2 linked regions of the Drosophila melanogaster genome follow. The protein of the gene in region 1 purifies or fractionates together with the protein of each later gene. This does not show direct contact. Each region holds a gene or a part of one and is shown in the gene's direction. Other genes may lie near its edges. The genes, in order: CG10494 and GAPcenA.

Region 1 (9,787 bases):
AACAATGAAATGACAATATTTATGTGCCACATTTCAGTTCCATTAAAATGCTTAACCATATACTACTATATATCGAGTTACAGAAGCTCGACTGTGTGTTGGAAAAGAGCTTACCTTTCATATTGCCATTATCCACATAGCCGGCATTGCTGACCGATGAGCTTGTGGTGATGGATGCCATGCAGGCGAGGATCAGCAGCACCGACCAGATGGAGCTGCTGTCCCACAATCCTCGCGATATGCTCATCCACATGCTGATAATCATCATGATATCGATGCGCGGTCGATTTGCTTATATTCACCAACTGTACAAACACGCGAATCTCGGCAGAATTGTTTGTTTACTTCGAGATGCTTTGCCTGAGTTGAGGGGGGGGGGGGGTGGCGTTGTGGTGCCTAGTCAAGCGTGGCCGACGCTCCTCCTTGCCCCATCTCAAAAAGCCAGACTTTGACCGGCGATTAGCAACGAGCTTTCCACTACAACTTTTGACCCGATCTCTGTTTTGACTTCACTTCTACAATATATACGTATGTATATTCGCGAAATTAGCGTGCAAATCGTAAAAGCGCACAGATAACGCAAACGATCGCGCGGGGGTGATTACAAAAAAAAAGCTGAAGCCAATGCGAAACCAACTTGGCGAACACACACACGCACGCACAATAACACACACACACACACTCTGTTGTTGGCCTACAAGCTCCGCCTGTTGTATTATTGTGTACAATATAAACAATTACGATTACGATTACAATTGCACTTGATAATGATATGAAAATATCATAATATTTATATTTTTTCGTAATATACCCGATGTTAATTTGCCCGGCGATTTACCGAATACGCAAGCGCAGTTTTCTATGATGTTATTTGTTGATGTTTTCGTTGGGAAACTGAAACACGGGCAGCCCGGCTTGAAATTTATCTTCAAATTTACAGAGTGGCTATTGCGGGTTGCTTATATAGCTTCGGCCGAACCGTTTAACCGATTTGCCCGTTTCGCTCGATGTTCGAATCGAACTTCGCTCTCTCTCTCTCGCTCGCAACAAGTTGCAGTATGCTGTGGTTGCAGTCACCGATGGAAATCAAGTTGCCAATTACTTTGCAGCTAAAGCCCGAGTTGGCATGCCCCAGAAACTACCATTTTTTCTCCTTTAACATTTTTGACATTTCAGAAAAACTACAAATCTTATTGCAATTTTTGACGTTGGTAAAAATGACACTTACCCACTTGGTACACCATTTGTTGCGGAACGAATTAACACTCTATCGATATTGCCGATAATTTTTAACGATATCATAAAAAGTCAAACTTAGTATTTATTGTATGAACATATTTTAGTTTTTAACCTAACTCAAAAGCTAATTGCCCTTCCGGCCAGAGTTTTGTTAAATATATATATATTATTAATATATTCTATTATGTTAATTTAATTTTTTGTTAAAAAGCGAACAGCTTAAACTTTTTAGCACCAAACGGAAAATAGTTGATATGCTATCACCGATCAGTCTTCGCGCAACCATGGAAGTGATCAATGCGGTAATCGCGGCACTCGTATGCCTATTTATTGCCAACAATAACGTAATGTCGCGCCTGCTGGTTGAGAATTGTGGAATATCAAAGGACGATCCATACGTTCCGAACATTTTTGGAGGAGCCAAAACAAATATTCAAGAAAATCCTTGGATGGTGTTGGTTTGGTCGAGTAAGCCCTGCGGCGGCTCTCTTATTGCACGGCGTATGTATTTGACTAAAACATTGGTTATTCTTTATTTACTCTATACTAATATATTAATATATTTATATTTATTTAGATTTATAATATAGTTCATAGTCCACGATATATATATCTTAACTTACATGTACCCAAAAACTGAAAAGCATATGAATAAATAATCGAGATAGTCGACTATTTTATTATTTTTTTATTATTTATTTATTTTTCTTTTAAGAATTCGTCCTGACAGCAGCGCACTGCGTATCCTTTGAAGATCTGTATGTGCGCTTGGGTGATTACGAAACACTAGATCCCATGCCATACTGCCTTAACAATCACTGTATACCAAAGTTCTACAACATTAGTGTGGATATGAAAATTGTTCACGAAAATTATAATGGCATCACTCTCCAGAATGATATAGCATTGCTTCGTATGTCCGAAGCTGTGGAGTACTCAGGTAAATAGAGGGGTTTTATCTCACGTGGATGACTAAAGCTTTATGTTTTTCGTTATAGATTATGTTAGGCCAATTTGCCTTCTTGTCGGCGAGCAAATGCAAAGCATTCCAATGTTTACGGTTACCGGCTGGGGTGAAACAGAATATGGTCAATTCAGTCGGATCCTACTGAATGCCACTCTATATAACATGGATATATCATACTGTAACATTAAGTTCAACAAACAGGCTGATCGATCGCAGATATGTGCTGGCAGTCATACCAGTAACACCTGTAAGGGCGATTCTGGAGGCCCATTGAGCTCGAAATTTCATTATGGCAACAGGCTTCTGAGTTTCCAGTACGGCTTGGTCAGCTACGGATCCGAAAGGTGCGCGGCTAATGTGGCAGGTGTTTACACCAATGTATCGTACCACAGGGAATGGATATTTAATAAAATGGTTCAATTCAAACCTACAGGTCATACTACCTTTTGGTTATCCAAGCTCGTAGGCCAAACTTGTAACATAACAGACATAATAAGGAATATAGAACTAATGTATAACAGAATTGTATATGAAAATTAATTAATATTCGACAAAATGGCAGGGCAACGCATCGAAGTTCGAAATATATTAAAGTTCAAGAGATTTAATTAAAAAAAAAAAATCTTGTCATTAATTGAAAATAAACGATGTCACATTCAAATCGATTGTAAAAATTGTATTAGTATTTTTTCTGAATAAATCACTTCTTATCTCTGCCGTTTGCCGAAGAACAAGCATAAAAATAGAAACCGATGCCATTCGAATTTAGTCTCTGAACAAGATGCGTCTACCTATACGGCAGCTTGTGATAGTAGCCTGTCTTTTTATTGGGATTATCCGGACGGAATCCGGACGCTTACTGGAAAACGACTGTGGAACCACGAGCAGTAATGGTTATAGAGCGCGAATCGATGGAGGTAGAGATGCTGGCATGGAATCGAATCCCTGGATGGTCAGAGTAATGATTTCGGGAAAAGCAGTGTGTGGCGGTTCACTTATAACTGCTCGTAAGTATTTGGAATTGATAATAAGAAATATATACTCAAATTATCATTGTATGTTCATTTAGGATTTGTTTTGACCGCCGAGCATTGCATTTCCCCAATGTATATGTGAGTGCATACCATACTATTACTACACATTTGATCCTCAAAATGACCTTTTTTAAGGAATGTGCGCCTGGGCGAATACGATACCCGACATCCCATATTCGACTGCGATGATTTTGTCTGCACACCAAGGGCCTACAATGTGGACGTGGATAGGAAAATTGTTCATAGTAATCCAGGATATGATATTGGTCTGTTGCGAATGCAAAGGAGTGTGATATTCTCAAGTAAGTGCATTTCGCTATCAAAAGTTTCTTGGGAACTAAATATGTAACTAACTAAAGTTCGCCATAGACTATGTCAGACCAATCTGCTTGATTCTGGGCAAAACGTTGGGTGGGAACCCACTCTCAATATTACGCTTCAATTTCACCGGATGGGGTACAAATAGTGATGGAGAAGAGCAAGATAGGCTACAGACTGCCACCCTGCAACAATTACCTCAATGGAGTTGTGAAAGACCTGGAAGACCTCTCGATATATCCTATATATGTGCCGGCAGTTATATCAGTGATTCGTGCAAAGGCGATTCGGGAGGTCCTTTGAGCGCAATTCGTACATTTGAGGGGCAGGGAAGGGTCTTCCAGTTCGGTGTCGCTAGCCAAGGACTTCGGTTGTGCAGTGGCTTGGGAATTTACACCAATGTCACACACTTTACGGACTGGATATTGGATGTTATTCAAAACCATTCAGACGACTTTGAATGAGATCAAAATATGTTGCTTAATAACAATATAATGTTTTAGCGTATATATTTTGGCTATCAATATCATAGTTTCTTGTTGGTTTTGGTTTTTTTTTTCAGATTGTAGGCTATTTCTACATTTAACATACATATTCCTTACATGAAACATACATTCGAGCAGAATGTATGGTACGGCCGCATCGATGCCGATAACGATAGGTAGCTTAACGCGTCCTACTATCGATGACAGTTTTGTTATTGTTATGATTTGATCAAGCTAAAAAAAAACCGATCAAATATAAATATATATTTATTGATTTCATTGCGCGATTTAAGCATAACCATTTGAAAATGAGCAAGTTCTCGCTCTTCAATGGCAACGATGAGGACGAGCACGAAACGGAGCAGAAATACGCACACCTTATGAGTGGGTAAGCAGCGTCCTCAGCCGGTTCGATGTTACCAAATCCTTACTTTTCGTAACAGATCTGGGAAATGCGAGTCACTCGGTGTCGGAAAATAGTTCTGGGAAAGCGAGTCGCTGCAAGTGGACCAGCGCAAAGGTGGAGACCTTTCTGGAAATCATTCACCAACTTAAACTGCAAGCTGCTCTTCGAAGGCCGCGAAGCAATGCAAAGGTGTTTCGTATGGTGTCCAGAGAAATGGCCCGGCGGAACTGCCCCAAGAGTCCAAAGCATCTGAGAGTCAAGTTCCATCAGATGCGGCGTCAGTATGCGAGAGCTCGGAATGGCGGCGAACCATTCGAGCACTTTGAGGCGGTGCACGAGTTGATGCAGGGAGAAGATGTATCTGATCTGGATGAAGAGGCGCTAGAGAGTGACAGCGATATGGAGGCCGACGAGGACCAGTCCGGCATGATCTCAGAAACCGAAGGGGACGGTAGGTGCCACCGGGCAGGAATGTATTGGAATACGAACTTAGGCGACTTTCCTTCGCAGATGCTTTGGATGCCTCAGGATCTTCAGTTAACATCGTCGCCCGCTGCAAGTGGGCAGAGGGCGAAGTGGACCTCCTCCTAGACCTGATCCACACACTTGGACTGCGAGCAGCTTTGCTGCAAAAGCGCAATGCCAAGGTCTTCAAGCTGCTGTCCAAGGAGATGGCAAAACGCAACTGCCACAAGGGTGCTGAGAAGCTGCGCATCAAGTTCCAGCAGCTGCGGCGATTGTACAACAAGGTCAAGAACGGCACGGGGAAAACGTTCGAGCATTTTGAGGCGATGCGACTGGTCCTGGATCCCACCGAAGAGGAGGCGGCCGCAGATGCTGAAGCGGAAGCCCATCTGAGCAGCGCAAGCGATAGTGATTTCAATGACAGTGACGAGGAAGAGGGTGATGCATCACAGAGAAGCGGAGGTAGATATTATAATAGCTAGTTCCTATTCCATATTTAATTAAATTCCTATGTTCCTTAGCGCACTTTTGGACAGACGAAGAGGTTGATTCGTTTCTACTCATCATTCGGGACAATGGTTTCTTTCGCGCCTTGGATGGCTCAAGGAAGCGCAACTTCCAGACCCTGGTGCACATTTCCAACATCCTGGCTAAGCAGGACATCAAACGCACGCCACACCAGCTGCGCAATAAACTAAGGCTGCTCTGCAAGCGTCATCGAGAGGCCAAGGAGCACGGGCTAGATAATGTACGCATTCTGCCTCGCCACTTTGAGCTTTTCGATGAACTGATTCAGGCGCCGCGGGAGAACAGAGAAAGTGCCATCAGCAGGCTCATTCGCATCAGCAAGCCTTCCTTTCTCAAGCCGCCAGGCAAACCAAGCGTTCCGCTGGAAAGTGACAGCGACAACTCCAGCTCCACCTGCGATCTCCTAAGAGCGGCAGCCGATAGCGAGGACTACGTGGACGCCATCGAGATGGAGGCTGAACCAACGCCGATTGAAGCACTCACTGCAATCATAGAAGGTCAAAAGCAGCTGCTTGCGCAGATCAAAACTACCAACGAAAGCTTCTTGCGGCAGCAACGCGAGCAGCAGCATCAATTTTTGGAACAAGTATCGGAACTGATGCATCGAGATCGAGAGGAGACCCTGCGCAGGATCAGCGAAATGCTGCAACCGAAGTAATGGAAACATAGAACTCAAGCTTCTAAAACTTTTATTGAATTGAATTCGAAGTTATTGCAAAAAGTTGTCATTATTTATATATATTATATGTATGTATTCTATATTCAATATCGTGTGTGTGTGTGTATCCTGTTTTTGTGACAGTGTCCTGTGTCTAGAATTTATTCCTCATTCATTGTGAACAGAATGTTGGTTTGAAGTTACTCGCAATTCGCAATTGTCTACGATTTATCTAGGGTTTTGTATAAGTATATACGTAATTTTGAGAGATTTTTCGTTTTTTATTTGATATGCTACATTGTTATTTTTTGGGATTAAGTTAACAGTTGGATTCGTTTTAGGTTTTAACATTAAGCGAAAATGCTCGTTAGTTTTTAGTTTTTGTTCTGCTTGTGTCATCTGTATACACATATGTATATATTTTGTATATTGTTCGGTTTACAACAACTAAGCAAGCTCGTCATAAAATATGTGTTGCACTCCAAAAAAAAAAACAATGTAATCAATTGGGCATAGAAAACTAAACTGCTGTTGCTGATCTGAACCGATCTGGCTTGATATATATACGTGTATGTTCGTTACGTTACGCTCAGGCACAAAGTGTAAATTACAAATATCTCTCCGCATCTCGAAAACCATAGGGAAACACAATCAATCAATCAACCAATCAATCAATCAATCAATCAATGGGTTCTCATTTGGTGGTTAATTATTGCATTCGCATTCATTTCCTAGCGGTGTGTGAGTTGCTTGTATTTCATAATATTTTTTATTCTTTGAGTTTCTGTGGCTTTGTGTCTCTTGGAGCACGGCTGAAAGCTTGGCTTGACTTGGCTGCTGCTGCTGCATTATTTTTTCTCAGTGTGTGGTAACAACAATAACAAGGTGTCTTTTGGAGATTATGTGGACTCTGCAGTAACAATCTAAGAGCTGACCGGCTCGGGCAGTGGGTTCTCTGTGATGCGTATCTTGTTGCTCTGGGTGCCGTAGTAAAGCGTGCCCGATGTGTCCGTGGTCACGTAGGCTCGGTTGCCATTACCGGTTCCTGTTCCGTTGCCGCCGGCACATCCGTTTCCGTTCTCCAGATCCTGGTCGTCCCCGTCGACGCTGCGACCATCCGCATTATTATTGTCCCCCTGGCCGGCGGTGGTGTTGGAGTTGCTGCTGGTGCAATTGATGGCCGTCTCCCGAAGGCGATTGCCAACGCGAAGGCTCAGCTGCCGCTGGCGATCCCGCTCCCTTTCCCGCTCACGATCGCGCTCCTCCATCGCCTGCTGCTGCTGCTCCCGGAAGTTGGCAAAGAAGATGGAGGAGTAGGTGTGGTATTTAGTTCCACAGGGCGAACTCGCTGGCGTGGACAGCGGCGTTGCTGTTGCAGTTTTATAAGTGGAGTTGTTGTTGTTTTGGGGGGAAGGTAGTAGTAGTTTGGCTTTTGTTATTTACGTTATGTCACTTGATAACATGTAAGTTGTTGGTTCTTGTTCTTGATGGGTGTTTTTCTTTATACACTTTCTAAAAGGCTTGCCTGCTGTTTTTGAAATGTATGTACGTGTGGTGATGTCTGTACGTTTGCAAAAGGCTGCGATTAAAATAAATAAAATTCTTAGATTTGCTTGACTCTCTTAACTCTTAAAATTCGAATGGAAGTTAAGGCTTTATGTCCATTGTAAAGATAACTATGTAGTATTCAATAATCTCATCATTGATTATGGTTACAATTTACATCGTTTAATTCAGTCTTTATATTGTTTAATAAGGCTAAGTTCACTTGAAACTATCTTTAGTTAGCTGAAGCTATAAAAACAGCTTACAACACATGAATCTAAATAATTTACCTCTATCCTTATTTTAATCGCAGCTGCAAGTGTATCTGTATCTGTATCTGAATGTAATGTGTATGGTGTGCATTTTGCATGATTCGAGATGAAAGCGGCGACAATCTGCTGCTGCTGTTGTTCTATTATCGTTATAATTAATAAATTTTATTATTATTGTTGTTTGTTGTTGTTGTTGTTCTAGTTGATGGACGAGATGGAGGGGAAGGGAAGGAAGCTGGGCTGAGATTTCGCGATGGTCGATGAGCGGATCGATGCGATGCGATGCGATGCGATGAGCTCCCTTTGCTGGGATTGAATTGGATGTGGCTGCTGTGACGACGATGCTGCTGCTGTGGGAAAGAGACGCGACTCCCAGTGGCCAGAGGACCATCAACACCAGATATATTCATATCTCGGAGGAGTATATCACTCTGGCCGCACCGTTACAGTTCGAAATTCACGTTGTTCGTTCGTTTATTTAGAATTCTCAAATATACAACAAAAGCTTACACTTTTCAATTTTCGTTTCGTTTATCGTTTTTCTCGACTTGAGTATGGTTAGTGTAATGTAATTTGTATATAATAGCGTTGTCATGTATGTATATTTGTATAGTGTGTTTAAACTTATTGCTCTCGTACATTTAAGCTGTGTTGTGGATGGTGAAAGCAGCCCGACTTTTAAGGCATGTGGGAGAAAAGGGGTGACACAACGAAAGGCAATATGTAAAGTACATATATGCAATGCATTTATTTATGTAGACAACAAACGAAATGGAAACTAATCACTTGCCGCTTTCCACTTAATAGCTTACCAACTAAAAATCGCATTAATTACAAAAAAAGTATTTAACATAAAACAAAAGAGCAACGATAAATTTCAACGCAAATCACAGAAGTGGAGAAACCGAAGCAAGATTATTTTGCCCTTAAAAGCAAAGCTGTAAACCATTTTTCTCAGTGTGGTTATTGTTCTAATTTTTTGTTTTGGGTGTATCGGCGTCGGGTGATTATCCAATTGCTCTCTCTCTCTCTCTCACTCACTCTGCCCCACCGAATTGGGGCCGATGCTGCCGCTTCTGCCGATGCCGCTGCCACTGCTGTTGCTCTCTCCATTCGCTCACATAGTTCTGCTCTGCCGCCGTCGTTCACTGTACAGTGAGCTCAATTTGCGTGGAACTGCTCCGGCTGACCGATGAGATTTTGCGCGCCAACTTTTGCAGTGTGCCAACAGCTTTTGGGGTTTTCGAAATTCAATGTTCAGTTGTTTGTGGTTGTTGTGGTAATTGTTTTCGTTGTTGTATAATTTGTTTTCAATTTGCGTGTAAATAAACAAAACAAAATGATAGGTCAAATAAATGAAAGAGTTATTCGAAACAAAAGGCGTGTGCGAGAGTGTGTGTTTTTGTGGAGGAGAAAATTAAAGAGAGCGTTGGAAAAGCGAAAGCGCATCAATGGCCCAGCTAACGAGGTTGCACTGTACTCAGAAGCAAATCTACGCAGATGCAGGCTAGTGTAAGTCATTTTCACTATTCAACTCTCAAAATCTTAAGGTGTCGGGCGTTAAGTCAGGAAATTAGTAAGACAAGTTGTATTTATAGAAAATATAAATAAATTTGTATAATTTCATAAAATAAAATGTACTGCTATTAGTATTTTGACAATATATTAATTTACCCGTTAACACCTTAAAATATCGAAAGAACCTTGACTAGCTGTGTGTGTGTGTGTATGGGTGGTTTTTAAGCTCTACTTTGCCTATATAGTTGTATATAATGTTAATTTGAATTATTGTATTAATTAATTAGCTAAATGCATTCCAACTAGATTTCGGGTTTATTTGTTTTTTTTTTTTTGTTTGCAATTTGTTGGG
Region 2 (13,157 bases), on another chromosome or scaffold:
CCTTGTGAAGCTGCTGTTCGAGGGGGTCAATCAGGCACACAGCTTGGCGCGCGCAGCCGATGGCCACAACCTCGTCCGCCGAATGGCTGTTGTGGAGCTTGGCATCCGGGAAGCGGGCTCCCACTGCCGCCTGAAGCTTGGGGATTTGCATTGTGGCGCCTAGTAGAACGATGTCATCTATTTTACTCAACCCGGGATGCTCCTTTTGCGCCTGCTCCACACACTCGCCTAGCTGCTGGATGAGGTTATTGATCACTGGCTGTATGAGGCTCTCGAAGCGAGCACGCGACATCTGGGCATTGTAATCAACGCCGTCCATCAGGGAGTCGATATAAAGTTGCGTGGAAGGCATCGTGGTCAGGATGTGTTTGCAATTGGCGGCGGCAGTGCGTATTTTGGCCACTGAGCGGCGAGACTCATGCGGATCTAGCTTGTACTTGCGACGGAACTCCTCGCAAATAAACTGCACCAAGGCCTCGGTGAATTGCCGGCCACCGATGGGGAAGGGTCCGAAAGTGGCCAGCTGAACGAACAGGCCATTTTGGACGGAGTAGAATGCGATGTCGCTATATAAGCCACCGCATTTGATTGTCAGCACATGGCGGCGCTGTTCCGTCTGCTCCTCGCCGATGCTATAGCCTAGAACGGCGGCCGTGGGTTCGGTTATAATCTGGGCCACATGGAAGCCAGCGGTTTGAGCGGCATCTGCTAGCAGTTTGTAGGCCGAGGCGGGATAGTAGCTGGGTATGGATAGCACGGCAATGGGCGCCTGCTCCCCGTCCGTGTGATATTGATGGGCCAGCTCCAGCTCAGCGCGCAGCAGCTCCACCGTCACCTGATAGGCGCTGAGGTCCTTGGTCACAACTCTATCGTCTTGGTCCTCCCTGTCGGAGGGTACAGTGTGCTCCATCCGGAACACCAGCTCCTCCTTGTCAAAGTCGCAGGGTATTTCACGCAGCGCACTGGACAGTTTCTCCTCCGTGAGCTCTTCCTTGGGCTGAAGCAACTGAAAGCTGTGCGCCACCGCCTGGCGCGGACGGTTGGCCATCTTCTGCTTGGCCGTGAGGCCACATTCGATCTCCGAGGCTCCGTCCCAGAGAAGGCACGCTTGGGACACTCGGTCGCCCTGTTTGTTGGCGATCACCTCCGCCTTGCCATCCGCGCGCACATGGGCGATGCAAAGCGTGCTGTTGCCAATCTTAATGCCAAATCGCGGCCACATCTTTTGGGAGTCGGAATCGGAGTCAGAAGTACCCGGACTTAAGGAATTATCTTAACAAAATGCAACGAATAAACGCGCACGTTTTTTTCCAGCACGCGCGGTAGTGTTGTGTAGCAGAGTATTTGGCAACACTGGCGGGGTATTATGTCACGGCGATGACACTTTTTCGATATGTACTATATGTTTAATATGTTCTCAATATTTTCCATACATCACATACCTTTATAGATTTGGTTCTTTGAATTACAATTTAAAAATTTATTTATATTTATTTAAATTTATTCAAGACAAGTCATTTCAGTCAAAGACAACTTTGTAATGCTATTGGATTATTTAGATTGCCATATAAGCATATGGCAATATGCATAGAAAAGAAAATAACTAGTCGATTAAGTCGATAGGTACACTTATTAACACTTTCAAAAGAAGTATTGAATAACGTTAAAGCAGCTGTTTCCTTTCGATAGGAATCGACCTACTGCAGGTCATCACTAGCAAAAAAATATGTAAACAAAACAGACGGAAAATTGCAAGAAAATTGCTAAAAACCCGATAAAAACACAACAATAAAGGGTCAAAACAATGTACTACAGTTCTGCGGAGTGTAGGCTATAATATAAAAACCAAAGTGTAAGCTCAAAGCAGCTGCACGCACTAAAATAACAAAAAAATCCATAGGAATCCAAGCGCAGAGGCTACAGAGACAAACTGTTGACCCCGCCGACCCCACCGTCCACCACCCCCTTGAAGGCCCAACCCCTCCAGTTCCCACGCGAATTGGGCACTGTGTGACATACATGCGCGTGTGTGTACGCCCCCAAAACGCCAAGCAAACCGTACCGATTCGTCATCGATTTACGGCGGAACCAAGCCAAACAATGCGACTCCGCTGAAAATTGGACAAATTGAAAACGAAATCTATTAAAAGCGAGTGCGAGTACGAGTGCGTGGCCTTGGAACAGAAATTGATTTGTTTACCTGCCCTGAAAATGCGCAATTCGTAGGGCTTAAGAATAAAGAAAGTCCGAATATATCACACACACAACAAAGAGTAACCCATTTGGGAGTGCCTGGAACTGAGGCAACCTTGAGTGTTCGGAATGGATGATAATCTGAGCACCAAGTCCTCGGAATCCTCGATAACAACCAGCGGGGAGTACGAAATAGTTACCGACAGCAATGTGGCCAGTCCCATGGAGCAGGTGAAGCAGGTTGTCAACCAGGAGGGAACTCAGCCTGAAGTGGGTGGCAAACCGCCCACTTCGCTGAGTGCTCTGGCTCTGTCCTCCCCCGAGGCTGGGGGAGATCGCTCGCCCACTCTGGACATGGCCCACAATCGCAACCTAAGCGACATGCAGCACGAGATGACGGACGCCCTCAAAGATCTGGAGTTGGAACGCGGCGTAGGTGAGTAAAGAAACACAACTGAGAGGGTGAATTGGGTTGCCCTGGGTAGCCTAAAGTAAACTCAGTCGTTGCCCAACGCCAGCTGTGCACACAACGTCGCGGTCGCTCCACTATTGGAAACATCAAACGATTGCTAAGCCTAACCAGCTGCAATCTTATCGGCGCAGAGCCGTAGTGCTACGCTGTCATGGAAACAACGACAAACAAACCGAATAATAATACTTTCCTTAAACAAAATTCCGCATAATTCGGCATTTGTTATTGCTCGTCGCGTAATTGACAATTAACATATTTGCAGCTGCCAGTGGGGAGAAGTCAGCGCAACGTCTCCCGAGTCATCAGCAAAAGTCCCTGACCCTACCGCTCACGGGCTCCGGCGGGGGATCTGTCGATCCCGAGATGCGTTTCCCCTGCACCTTGTTCACGCCCAAAAGCGAGGAGACCCTCGACGATGCATCCAGCTCAAACAGAGTGGGTCATTCAGTGTTCTATGACTGCATAGACGCTAGCCCCGCCTGCGTGGAGGAAAAACAGGATGCCATGAAGCCGGAGAAGGGCGACACCACCGACGAGGAGGGTGAGTAGATCTCTTAAGTTAGTTAAAATCCCAAAAATTAAGGGGTACATTTGCCTATAAATTCTGTTCATTTTACGAAAGCCTATATACTCACAGAGTTCTTTATTATTTGTTCTATATTGTGTTCCTAGGCTCCTAAAGCTGAAATCTATGTTTAGTGTAATTATTGAAATTTAATTGACCATGTGTTTTTCACTTTCAGTTTCTGAAATCGATCAGGGCTGCACCATATTTTCCGGAGTCACCTACCTGGGCGCAGCCAACATTAATGCCCCAAAATCCGAGACGGAGGTTTATCGCATCATGGGCGAGCTAAATAGTGGCTCAAAGTCGGTGGGCCTGAAGATCACTGTGAGCATACCCAATTGCTCAGAAGGCCTGGTTGTGTGAGTAAAGTTTTTACTGCCCCTTGAATTACTCACTGAGCGTCATCATGCTGCTATTACAGCCTCCACGATGCCGAGAGCAATACTATTATTGCCACCTATGAGATATCCAGCATTATCTTGTACTATCGAGGACCAGTGGATACGGTGGAAAACGGATGCTTTGCATTCACTTGGCTTCACGGCGATGCATTGTTTCAGTGCCATGTGTTTCGGTGCCATATTCCCGAAGCGGTTAATCAAGTCAGCGGTGAGTCAGATCATACAGTGATTTCATCCCACCGATTTATTCAAAATCTTCGCCCGCAGCCTGCTTCCAGAAGGCATTCCAGACTTATCCGCCCAGCATGAGTTGCAGCCTTAATTCGGCCGTTGACATGGCCAACTCGGTAACCTCCGATGTAAGCGGAAATCCTTTAAACACGGCTGGGTATGAGTTCATAGTCTCCTTAGAGATCCGTGAGCGAGTGGCAAAGAACTCCTATGCCGCAGTGCCTCGCGATAGGGGATGCTTTAAGCTAAGGGCGAACACAGATAAGGAAGTGTGCATCACAGTCAAACAGACTCCGTCAAATGTTCTTCAACCATTGCATATCGAACGATGTTTCGGTGTTCTAGTGGCACCCGGAAAACTAGTAGTCCAAAAGGATATGCATTTGATCGACATGCACAGCATGGGTTACATTCAGCCCGGCGGAACAGGAGTAGCAACCGAATCGGACAGCAATGCCCAGCAGAGCTCCTCCTGGCCCTATACAATTCGAGCTGAGTGGAAAGCCCAGGAAAAGGCCTTTGAGCAGTTAAATCTTGAGTCGTCAAAGACCAATCTCACTGTGGCCGTAGACATTGTGATGCGACGTATACAGGAACCGGTTAGGTTCGTCATTGAGACCCCAGTGACCATTCAGTCGGCCAGCGAAATGCGTATTATGGACCATTTTATGTCAAAGCGACCCATGACGTTACGATTCTATTTGCATCTAAAGCGGACCGAAGAGTCCAACTGGAAAGTGAATAGCATTGATCCCTCTGAGGAAATAACGGAGCAGCCGGGCCACCAGCAAAGCTCTTCCCTGCTCAAGATGGGTATGAATAATCTATCGCGCATTGTGCGCAGTTCGTCCATTGCCTCGATTGAGGATGATTGTCCCTCGGACTACAGCAGCGATGGGGATGAGCCGCTGCTGAGTGGCACTGGTGAGGTATCTAAGGATTGCTCGCAGGACACGCTCGACGAATGGGATCCCATTCTGCGTGAGTGGGATTCCGAGAAGAGACCGAAAAATCTGGCACCTTTAGTACGCCTCGGCGTTCCAGAAGCACTGCGTGAAAAGATCTGGCAGAAGCTAGCCAACGTCGAGGGCAGAATGGAAATGAACGACAAGTACAAGATCTTAATCACCAAAGTGAGTATAGACGCTATCCATGTGAAAAGAAATTAATTGGAAATTTACTTGTAGGAAACCAAATGTGAGACCGTTATCCAGCGGGACATCCATCGCACTTTCCCGGCGCACAAATGCTTCAAAGAAATTGGCGGTTCTGGCCAAGATGCACTTTTTAAGGTGTCCAAAGCGTATGCCGTTCATGACAGCGAGGTTGGATATTGTCAGGGTCTAAGTTTCATAGCAGCTAGTCTGCTCCTTCATGTAAGTAATGATGATGACAATCTACATCTAAGAATGATTGCTTACACACACATTTTCAGATGCCTGAGGAGGATGCGTTCTGTGTTCTGGTAGCGCTTATGTACGACTATGGGCTCCGTGATCTCTACAAAGCCGGATTCGAGGTCCTTTACCTTCGTCTCTACCAACTGGAGCGACTGATCAAGGATCAGCTGCCCAAGCTGCACGAACACTTCACGGCCTGCGGCATTGAGACGCACATGTACGCCTCCCAATGGTTCCTAACCTTATATACAGCGCGATTCCCATTGTGTTTTGTGTTCCACGTGCTGGATGTGTTTCTACTGGACGGACTACCTGTGCTCTTCCAGGTGGCCGTTACTCTCTTATCAATCTGTGAATCCGACTTGCGGCAACTCGATTTTGAGGGCATTCTAAAGTATTTCCGGGTAACGTTGCCGAAAAAGTGCCGCAGCTCCAGTCAGGCACGCAAGGTGATGAAGCAAGCCTGCGAACGTAAGATAAAAAAACTGAAGCAGTACGAGGAGGAGTTCCTGCTGAAGAAGCAGCACAAGGAGCGCCTGGAGAAGGAGGCACAGATTTACGAGAATCGTTTCGGCGAGGAGAGGCGCAAAATGCAGGCGGAAATCGACGCATTGAACAAACAACTGACTTCCGCCAAGGAGCGAGCTGTTGAGAAGGAGAAGAAGCACACAGGCATTATACAGGAATACAAGCAGATCATCCAGCGCCAAGAGCAGGACATGAACACACTAAGCGAGACTCTAGGAAAAGTGATGGTGAGTATTGTATTGTAATATGAATTTGACGGGATATTCATTTTTCAACTCTCTTTCAGCACATGGTTTCCAATTGCCAGGATTGTCAGCAGCAGATCGACGCCGGCAATGACAACGCTAAGTCAGATGACGGCAAGAACAGGGGGCAAACCGATGCCATGCGGAATGCCAATGAGCATCCACTGGGTCCACTTGATCCGCTAAACGCTGCCTCGCAACGCATCCGCGAACTAGAGCTGGAGCTGGCCCAGGCCAAGCTAGCTCAAGTGGAAGCCGAGTGCAAGAACCAGGACCTGAACCATCAGCTCAGCAATACGCTCAGTGAGCTGCAAACCAACCGCAACAGCTGGCAGCCCTGGCTATCGAAGACCTTCAATTCGCTGCAGGAGAAGGTAACCACGCGAGGCGGCCATCGGGATAATGGTAGTGGCGGACCGATGCCCTCATTCCAATCCTACATGGGCCAGGCGCCAACTACCCTAAGCGAGGCCAGCTCCCCCAGCGGCAATCAGGTAACCTAGAGTCCAGTGATCCGGCCAACTGTTATGACTGAAAGATCTTCAGTTTATTATTTTTAAGTTTTTTATGTATTATTTCTATGATTAAGATATGGGTTATCAGCCCACGAGCTGAGCTCCAGGAATGTTTTCGAAATACTTTATTAATACCCATTACTTATCATTGATTAATTTAATTACGCGCTTAACCTCACACCATGACACACATTGAGAATCTTTATTTAGTCGACTCTATGCAGGCATTGAACCCCTCTGCTGTTTCTGTTAGTACCCTAAAACCCGGGTTGCTTATGATTTTATTGATATTTTGCGTTGCAAATAAAACCCCGTGTATATAACATACTGAATTTGAATCTTTTGGTCCCTCGAATGGCTGCCCAGGAGTACAAGACCTTTGCATTTGCGTCGGTGGGAGGGTCACCGAAGTTGCCCAGCAAATTCCAGGCCACCAAGCTGCGCAACAGCATCGATAGTCTGCGCAATATAGTAGTGCCCCTGGACACTGGCAAAACGCTAGCCGAGAATCTCAAGCAACAGCTGCAGCAGTAGGAAACGATACAGCTACAACGTAGGAGGATCTGGATAGCAGGCAGACCTACGGCATTGACTACGTCTGGTATTATTTATCATATTCGTCTATATATACATATAAAAACGTGCATTTTGATTTCCATATATACGCGAGTAATAGATTTTTATTATTTTGCACTTTGAGGCACCCGAAAGTCAGTGCTGGTCAGGATGTGCCCCGGATCAATTAGTGGGTTGAAGTGAATCTTGGGCGATGGATGTTCGTTGTTGTTTTTTGTGATCTGATCTGGGGCACATATTGATCTGCTCTGGCAAATGCTACACGTATAACGGCTATAAATAAATAAATTAACAAAAAATGCTAATTCATAATGTAATTATTCATTTCTTTTTGCGGTATGGTACATATTATAAAGAATACAAACGTTGCGACCTTTTGGATAAGTCTTGATGAAGTTGAAGTTAATTATTTATTAAGAATTTCAATAAGCTAATAACATTCGAGTAAGAAACAGGCTTATTTATTTATATGTGACTAGAATCCGACCAGAATCACACCAGGCTTTAATACTATCGTTCCACTTGTCCACTCTTCCATTTTGAATCTCCCGCTCAGATGAAGAACAATCGCTGCATTGCCTCGCTCGTTTTTTGTGGCGTCGATACCGCCATTGTCGCGTAGTTCATCAAAAGATCGGCCGACGAGCTGCGCTGCATGAGACGCCTCCTTCCGGCACTGCCACCTCTGGCATTGCTAAAGGATCGGCTCCTCACATGACCCCGATGACGCCTCTTGGGCCGCTGGGCTACGGCTCCAAAGCAGGACACCTGCTGCTCCGCTTCGCTCTCACTTTCGCTGTGATTCGGGTGACTTTCCACTATCACATGGGACTGGAGTGTCTGGTTGGATTGCTCCATCTCCTGGGTAATGGTCTCCGATCCACTTGTGTCCTCGGGCGTCAAGCGAGCTCGTTTGCCCACACTATAACTCGATGGGTCCCTCGACAACTCGGATCCGAAATTACTACTGCTCCGTTCATGTGGAAGATTAGTGCCGTAGCTCAGGAAATCCGGGTACGGCAGATGCAGCTCATCGCTAGTGAATGCTTCAGGAGAGGAGAAGGTATGTCGCAGCCTCCGGACACGGTAACCCCTGCCAGGTGGAACCTGTTGCACCACCAACCACGATCTCTTTAGGAAGGTGTGCTCCGTGCAATTGCTGATTGTCTGCTCCGGACTTTGTTTCTGCAATTGGTTCTGGTCGGTTGTCACAGGACTCTCTGCCGTGGTGGAGGGCAAGCCTAGAGTGAGTGAAATGCTAAGTGAGTCGCCTCCCTGGGTGCACTCATCTGCCGTGCTGCCGGGCGTTGTGGCTGACCCACCTGCTGTGGGTAGTTCACCCCCAGCGGATAACGATGACGGGCTCGTTGAAATCCCCACGGATTGGACCCGCTGCCCTGACTCCTTTGCTGCCGGGAGAGACGTGCCTGCAGTGCCTGCAAGTGGGACTCTGTGGGTAAGTTAGCGACTGCAGGGCGGGATTGGGGGAACTCTCGACCTACCACAAATAGCCGTGGCGAGGAGCATTCGCTGGGCCATCGTCTGGACGTGTTCGGCATCCTCCGTTGTATCCGTGGCAGCCACCGCATGGGTCATTGCCGCCGCCGAGGTACTGGGCTGTTCTTGATCCCTTTCCAGGGTGCAGCTGCGATGCAGTGGGAGTACCGATTGCACGGTGCAATTGCTTGCGGCGCGACTGCAGCTCCGATCTCTAGGCGGAGCTCGACGGGCCCGTCTCTGGCGACGTGGCTCCCGTAGCTCCTGTTGCATTCCTACCTTGATGACCTCCTCGTAATCGGGTGGTGCCTCGTAGCTGGGTGGCTCATCGGGCGTGCGATCCTCGTCCTGGCGATCCAACAGCTCACTGATCGTCTGCAGGTGGCTTTGAAGCTCACGTTGGTGTCGTGCTCTAACCCCCATCCTGTACAGGATCACCATCCAGCCGGACAGCACACCAAATATGCCAAGTGTGCTGATGATAAAGATTCCCGTGGCCGTCTTAAGATCTGGATACTGGTCTATCTTGGGGAAATAATAGTTGGGCTTGTGAGAGTACCAGCGACGATCGTGATGCAGGTGTGCCCAGTCCTCCTCGCAGGAATCCGGCTCATCGCTGCCATCCCCACAATGGTCGAAGCCATCGCAGTGGAGGCGAATGGATATGCAGTGATTGTTCCCGCACAGAAACTCCGAGCCAATATAGCAATCTAAGCAATTCGAATTGGTTAATTAAACATTAAATTTAAATTTTCCAATCGAACTCACTCAAGTAGTTGAACACGCTGTAGACGATGGCCAGCTTGGAGGACATCCCGAATACCCCACGCAGTCGAATGTAGTAGCCATTGAGGATGGGCGCCACATGACTCTCCTTGCTCAGCCCATTGTTCGGCCACATCACATTCTCGATCTCCACGGCATCCGAGGTGGTGCCCTGCCGTATTGTGAGCTCAGATCTGGCGGCCATGCCGTAGAAGTCATCCACTCTCAACGAGATGTGGGTTTTCATCATCATGTAGTTGTTGCCGGGCTTTATAATCCAGATGCAGTCAAACAGCCGCACGTCCGTGGCATTTTCGATCATGTTCATCATGGTGATGGCGCCACCAGGTCCGGTAACCATTCCCCCGCAATCTAGAGGTGTAATAGAGATATGTACATAAGCATTTATTTATGTGCTCTTGCATCATGCATTGTGATCCAACCTGTCGCAATAGTGCATAACCAACCCCATTCCGGATTATATACAAGTATTTGCCAACCACCCTACGGGCAATGATCCAAGAAATCGATTGTCTTACCAAACCGAACCCAACCAGAGTCACCCAGTTTCCACTTCAACGCCTTGCATTGACATTGATATTCGCCAAGTGCCCACCCCACCCACTACCTTCGCCAAAATCAATATGACAATTGCCTGCAGACTTTCAAGTGCTCGACTAATCCGAAAATCATTAAAATGTCCCTATTCCTACAGAGAAAAGATATACTAATCCATTTAAAAAGTTAATCAATCTGCGAGTTCTAAAATGAAGATAAGCATAATGTTCTATACTTTTAAAAACCTCGAATTTTTTAATCCTGCGGAATATTTGTGTTTTAACCTTAGATCTGAGTTGTTTGATAGTCTTAGTTTTTGTTCAGTGCACTGCAACCCATTCACTTACCTGTGTAGGGCACCAGTCGCTCGTCCTTGAGCTGCTTGGAGGATACGAAGCTAACCTCCGCGCGAAAACCCACTCCGGTGGCGGAATTTCCTCGAAACTGCAGGAGCAGAGACTTGCCGCTGCTCACCGTGATCGGCGGACGGAAGTGCTCACCCGTATAGGAGTCCAGCATCTGGCCATTGGAGTCGAAGATCTCTAGGGTGGAGGTGAGGCCCAGCTGGAAGTCGGTAAAATCCAAACGCACCTGGCAGTTGTCCGCCTCGCAGGTGAGGATGTGTTCGATACCATAGTCGCGTGGATATGCCATCGGGAAATACGGCGTGGAGATCACTTGTGGCTGGGACTTTGTACTCCCATTGCCCACAATAGACTGCTTGGGGGAGCCACTGACTATCCGCACGTTGCCTATTCCGAGGGAAATCCGGATAGAGCATTCTTAAAAACCTACCAACTGATTCTAAATCTTACGTTCCGAGAAGTATTGAAGGGAGAACACGTGCGCATTGCTGGCTCTGTAGAAGAATTTCAACTGCAGTGTCCTGGTTTTGCTCCGAAACACCTTGCCATCTCCACAGAACTCTTGGCCGGAAATGGTGGAATCATAGGGCGGCTCCGAGAACTGGATATGCTCGCAGGGACACATGCTGGACTTGCCACCCGTATTGCCGCAACTTTTGGAGAAGTTGGCATAGGTGAAGGCCACTCGGATGACGCACTCGGCACAGGTGACCAGCTCCAGGCTGCACTGGTACCACACATCCCCGGCCACTGCATCGTTCTTAAAAACCAGCGGCGAGCTCTGTTTTTAAGTTCATAATTGCTGACCAAATCCCGTCTGGAGAAGCTTGTAAATACACTTACTCTATAGGCAGTAGTAGTCACATTCCTGGCGTGCACCTCTCCAGCTGGACTTCCCAGTTCCAGGAAGTGACGTCTTCCGTCCCAATGATTGCATATATCCAGATCCCGGTAGCTACTGCTGGCGGGATACGCCTCTCCTGGCCAGCAGAGCAGGCAGATCACGTAGGCCAGCAGGTAGCCATAGCCCAATGCTTCGGCTAGCATCGATAGTTTCGTCCTTCTAACAGGATCCTGAGCCCCTTCCGCTTGAACCGTCTCGGTCTGGTGCCGCCAAGTGTTAGAACACAACTGTGGCCATTTCGCTGGCAAATCCAATAAACCCAGAGCCATCAGAAGCCGCACAAGTGGACCGGGCCTCGTAACGAGCCCACCCTCGACTGGGTTAAAGACCTCTCGAGTCCGGTATAAAAATACATTTATTTGAAATTTCTTTTCCGTTAGACGTTAAAGGGAAATCAGGGTTTTTTTTTGCGTCTCGCAGAGACAATGAAACAGTGGGAAACATGCATCGAGGACACGGATTTTTAGCCTAGGACATGCACATCTACAAAAACGAATGGAAATATTGTGAATATGGTGACGAGGACAAGGCATCGCTGAGTAGTTTTCTAGAGATGCGAGGCCTGCTGCTCGGACTGAGTGCCGGATAGTCATTTGGCAGCAACGGCATTCTTGGCCAGGGCACCCTCCAGGTTCTTGGCCAGCGTGTTAATGAACTCAAAAGTCTCCTGGTAGTCCCTGCGAGTAACGGCGTTGATGTTGCCTTTAATGCAGATGGCCAGATCCTTGGTCATGGCGCCGCTCTCAATTGTGTCGATGCACACCTGCTCAAGGGTGTCGGCGAACTGCTTCAGTGGCTCATTGTTGTCCAGCTTGGCACGATGCAGCAGGCCACGGGTCCAGGCGAATATCGAGGCAATGGGGTTGGTGGAGGTCTCCTTGCCCTGCTGGTAGAAGCGGAAGTGACGCGTCACCGTTCCGTGAGCGGCTTCAGCCTCCACGGTCTTGCCATCGGGGCATAGCAGCACGGAGGTCATCAGACCCAGAGATCCGTAGCCCTGGGCAACGGAGTCCGACTGCACATCACCGTCGTAGTTCTTGCAGGCCCACACGAAGCCACCCTCCGACTTCATGGCATAAGCAACCATATCGTCGATGAGACGGTGTTCATACCAGATGCCCGCCGCCTCGTACTCCTTCTTGTACTGCTTGTTGTACAGGTCCTCGAATATGTCCTTGAAGCGTCCATCGTACTTCTTCAGAATGGTGTTCTTGGTGCTCATGTACAGCGGCAGCTTGCGGTCCAGAGCATATTTGAAAGAGGCGTGGGCAAAGTCCACAATGGAATCGTCCGTGTTGAACATTCCCAGGGCAATACCGGGGCCCTTGAAGTCATTAATGACCTCATCGATCACCTGACCGTCGGTTCCCTTCCAGGTGAGGGTCAGCTTGCCGGGTCCGGGAACCACGTAGTCGACGGCCTTGTACTGATCGGCGTGGGCATGGCGACCGATCACAATAGGCTTCTGCCAGCCAGTCACCAGACGGGGCACGTTCTTGCAGATGATTGCCTCACGGAAGACGGTTCCTCCCAAGATGTTACGGATGGTACCGTTGGGCGACTTCCACATCTTCTTCAGGTTGAACTCCTCTACGCGCTTCTCGTCGGGAGTGATTGTGGCGCACTTGATGCCCACGTTGTACTTCTTGATGGCCTCAGCACAGTCAATGGTGACCTGGTCCTCGGTTTTATCGCGGTTCTCAATACCAAGATCGTAGGTATGCAGCTCAATGTCCAGGAAGGGCAGAATCAGTTGGCTCTTAATGGAGTCCCAAATGATGCGGGTCATCTCGTCACCGAGGACATCCACAACGGGACCGGCTTTGATCTTCTGGGCCATCTGTTCGGGAGAGCATACCACACTTGAGTGCTTGAAGGGCAGGATGGGAATCTTATTAGCTACATGAAAAATGGATTTGTGTCTGAATGCTGCGGTATT

What was found.
Region 2: the proteins of CG10494 (region 1) and GAPcenA purify together in Drosophila melanogaster (affinity purification with mass spectrometry, with the first as the bait; one large-scale study listed by BioGRID). This does not show direct contact.

Annotation. Positions count from the first base shown.
Region 1 is NT_033778.4:21,513,570-21,523,356, reverse strand, and holds CG10494 (uncharacterized protein), read left to right. Parts: upstream 1-4,231; 5' UTR 4,232-4,351; coding exon 4,352-4,427; exon of another isoform or gene 4,428-4,431; intron 4,432-4,486; coding exon 4,487-4,900; intron 4,901-4,959; coding exon 4,960-5,376; intron 5,377-5,435; coding exon 5,436-6,100; 3' UTR 6,101-6,202; downstream 6,203-9,787. Other genes in the region: CG30289 (uncharacterized protein), read left to right, coding at 1,524-1,740, 1,955-2,179, 2,238-2,746; CG30288 (uncharacterized protein), read left to right, coding at 2,988-3,213, 3,276-3,318, 3,376-3,542, 3,610-4,022; MESK2 (misexpression suppressor of KSR 2), read right to left, coding at 7,024-7,469.
Region 2 is NT_037436.4:8,344,848-8,358,004, forward strand, and holds GAPcenA (GTPase activating protein and centrosome-associated), read left to right. Parts: upstream 1-1,713; 5' UTR 1,714-2,322; coding exon 2,323-2,629; intron 2,630-2,693; exon of another isoform or gene 2,694-2,927; coding exon 2,928-3,206; intron 3,207-3,408; coding exon 3,409-3,592; intron 3,593-3,654; coding exon 3,655-3,842; intron 3,843-3,901; coding exon 3,902-4,998; intron 4,999-5,052; coding exon 5,053-5,241; intron 5,242-5,300; coding exon 5,301-6,020; intron 6,021-6,079; coding exon 6,080-6,532; coding exon of another isoform or gene 6,533-6,541; exon of another isoform or gene 6,542-6,877; intron 6,878-6,919; coding exon 6,920-7,087; 3' UTR 7,088-7,432; downstream 7,433-13,157. Other genes in the region: CG7182 (uncharacterized protein), read right to left, coding at 1-1,222; Culd (CUB and LDLa domain), read right to left, coding at 7,682-8,565, 8,632-9,336, 9,395-9,763, 10,297-10,701, 10,765-11,095, 11,158-11,361; Idh (isocitrate dehydrogenase), read right to left, coding at 11,808-13,088.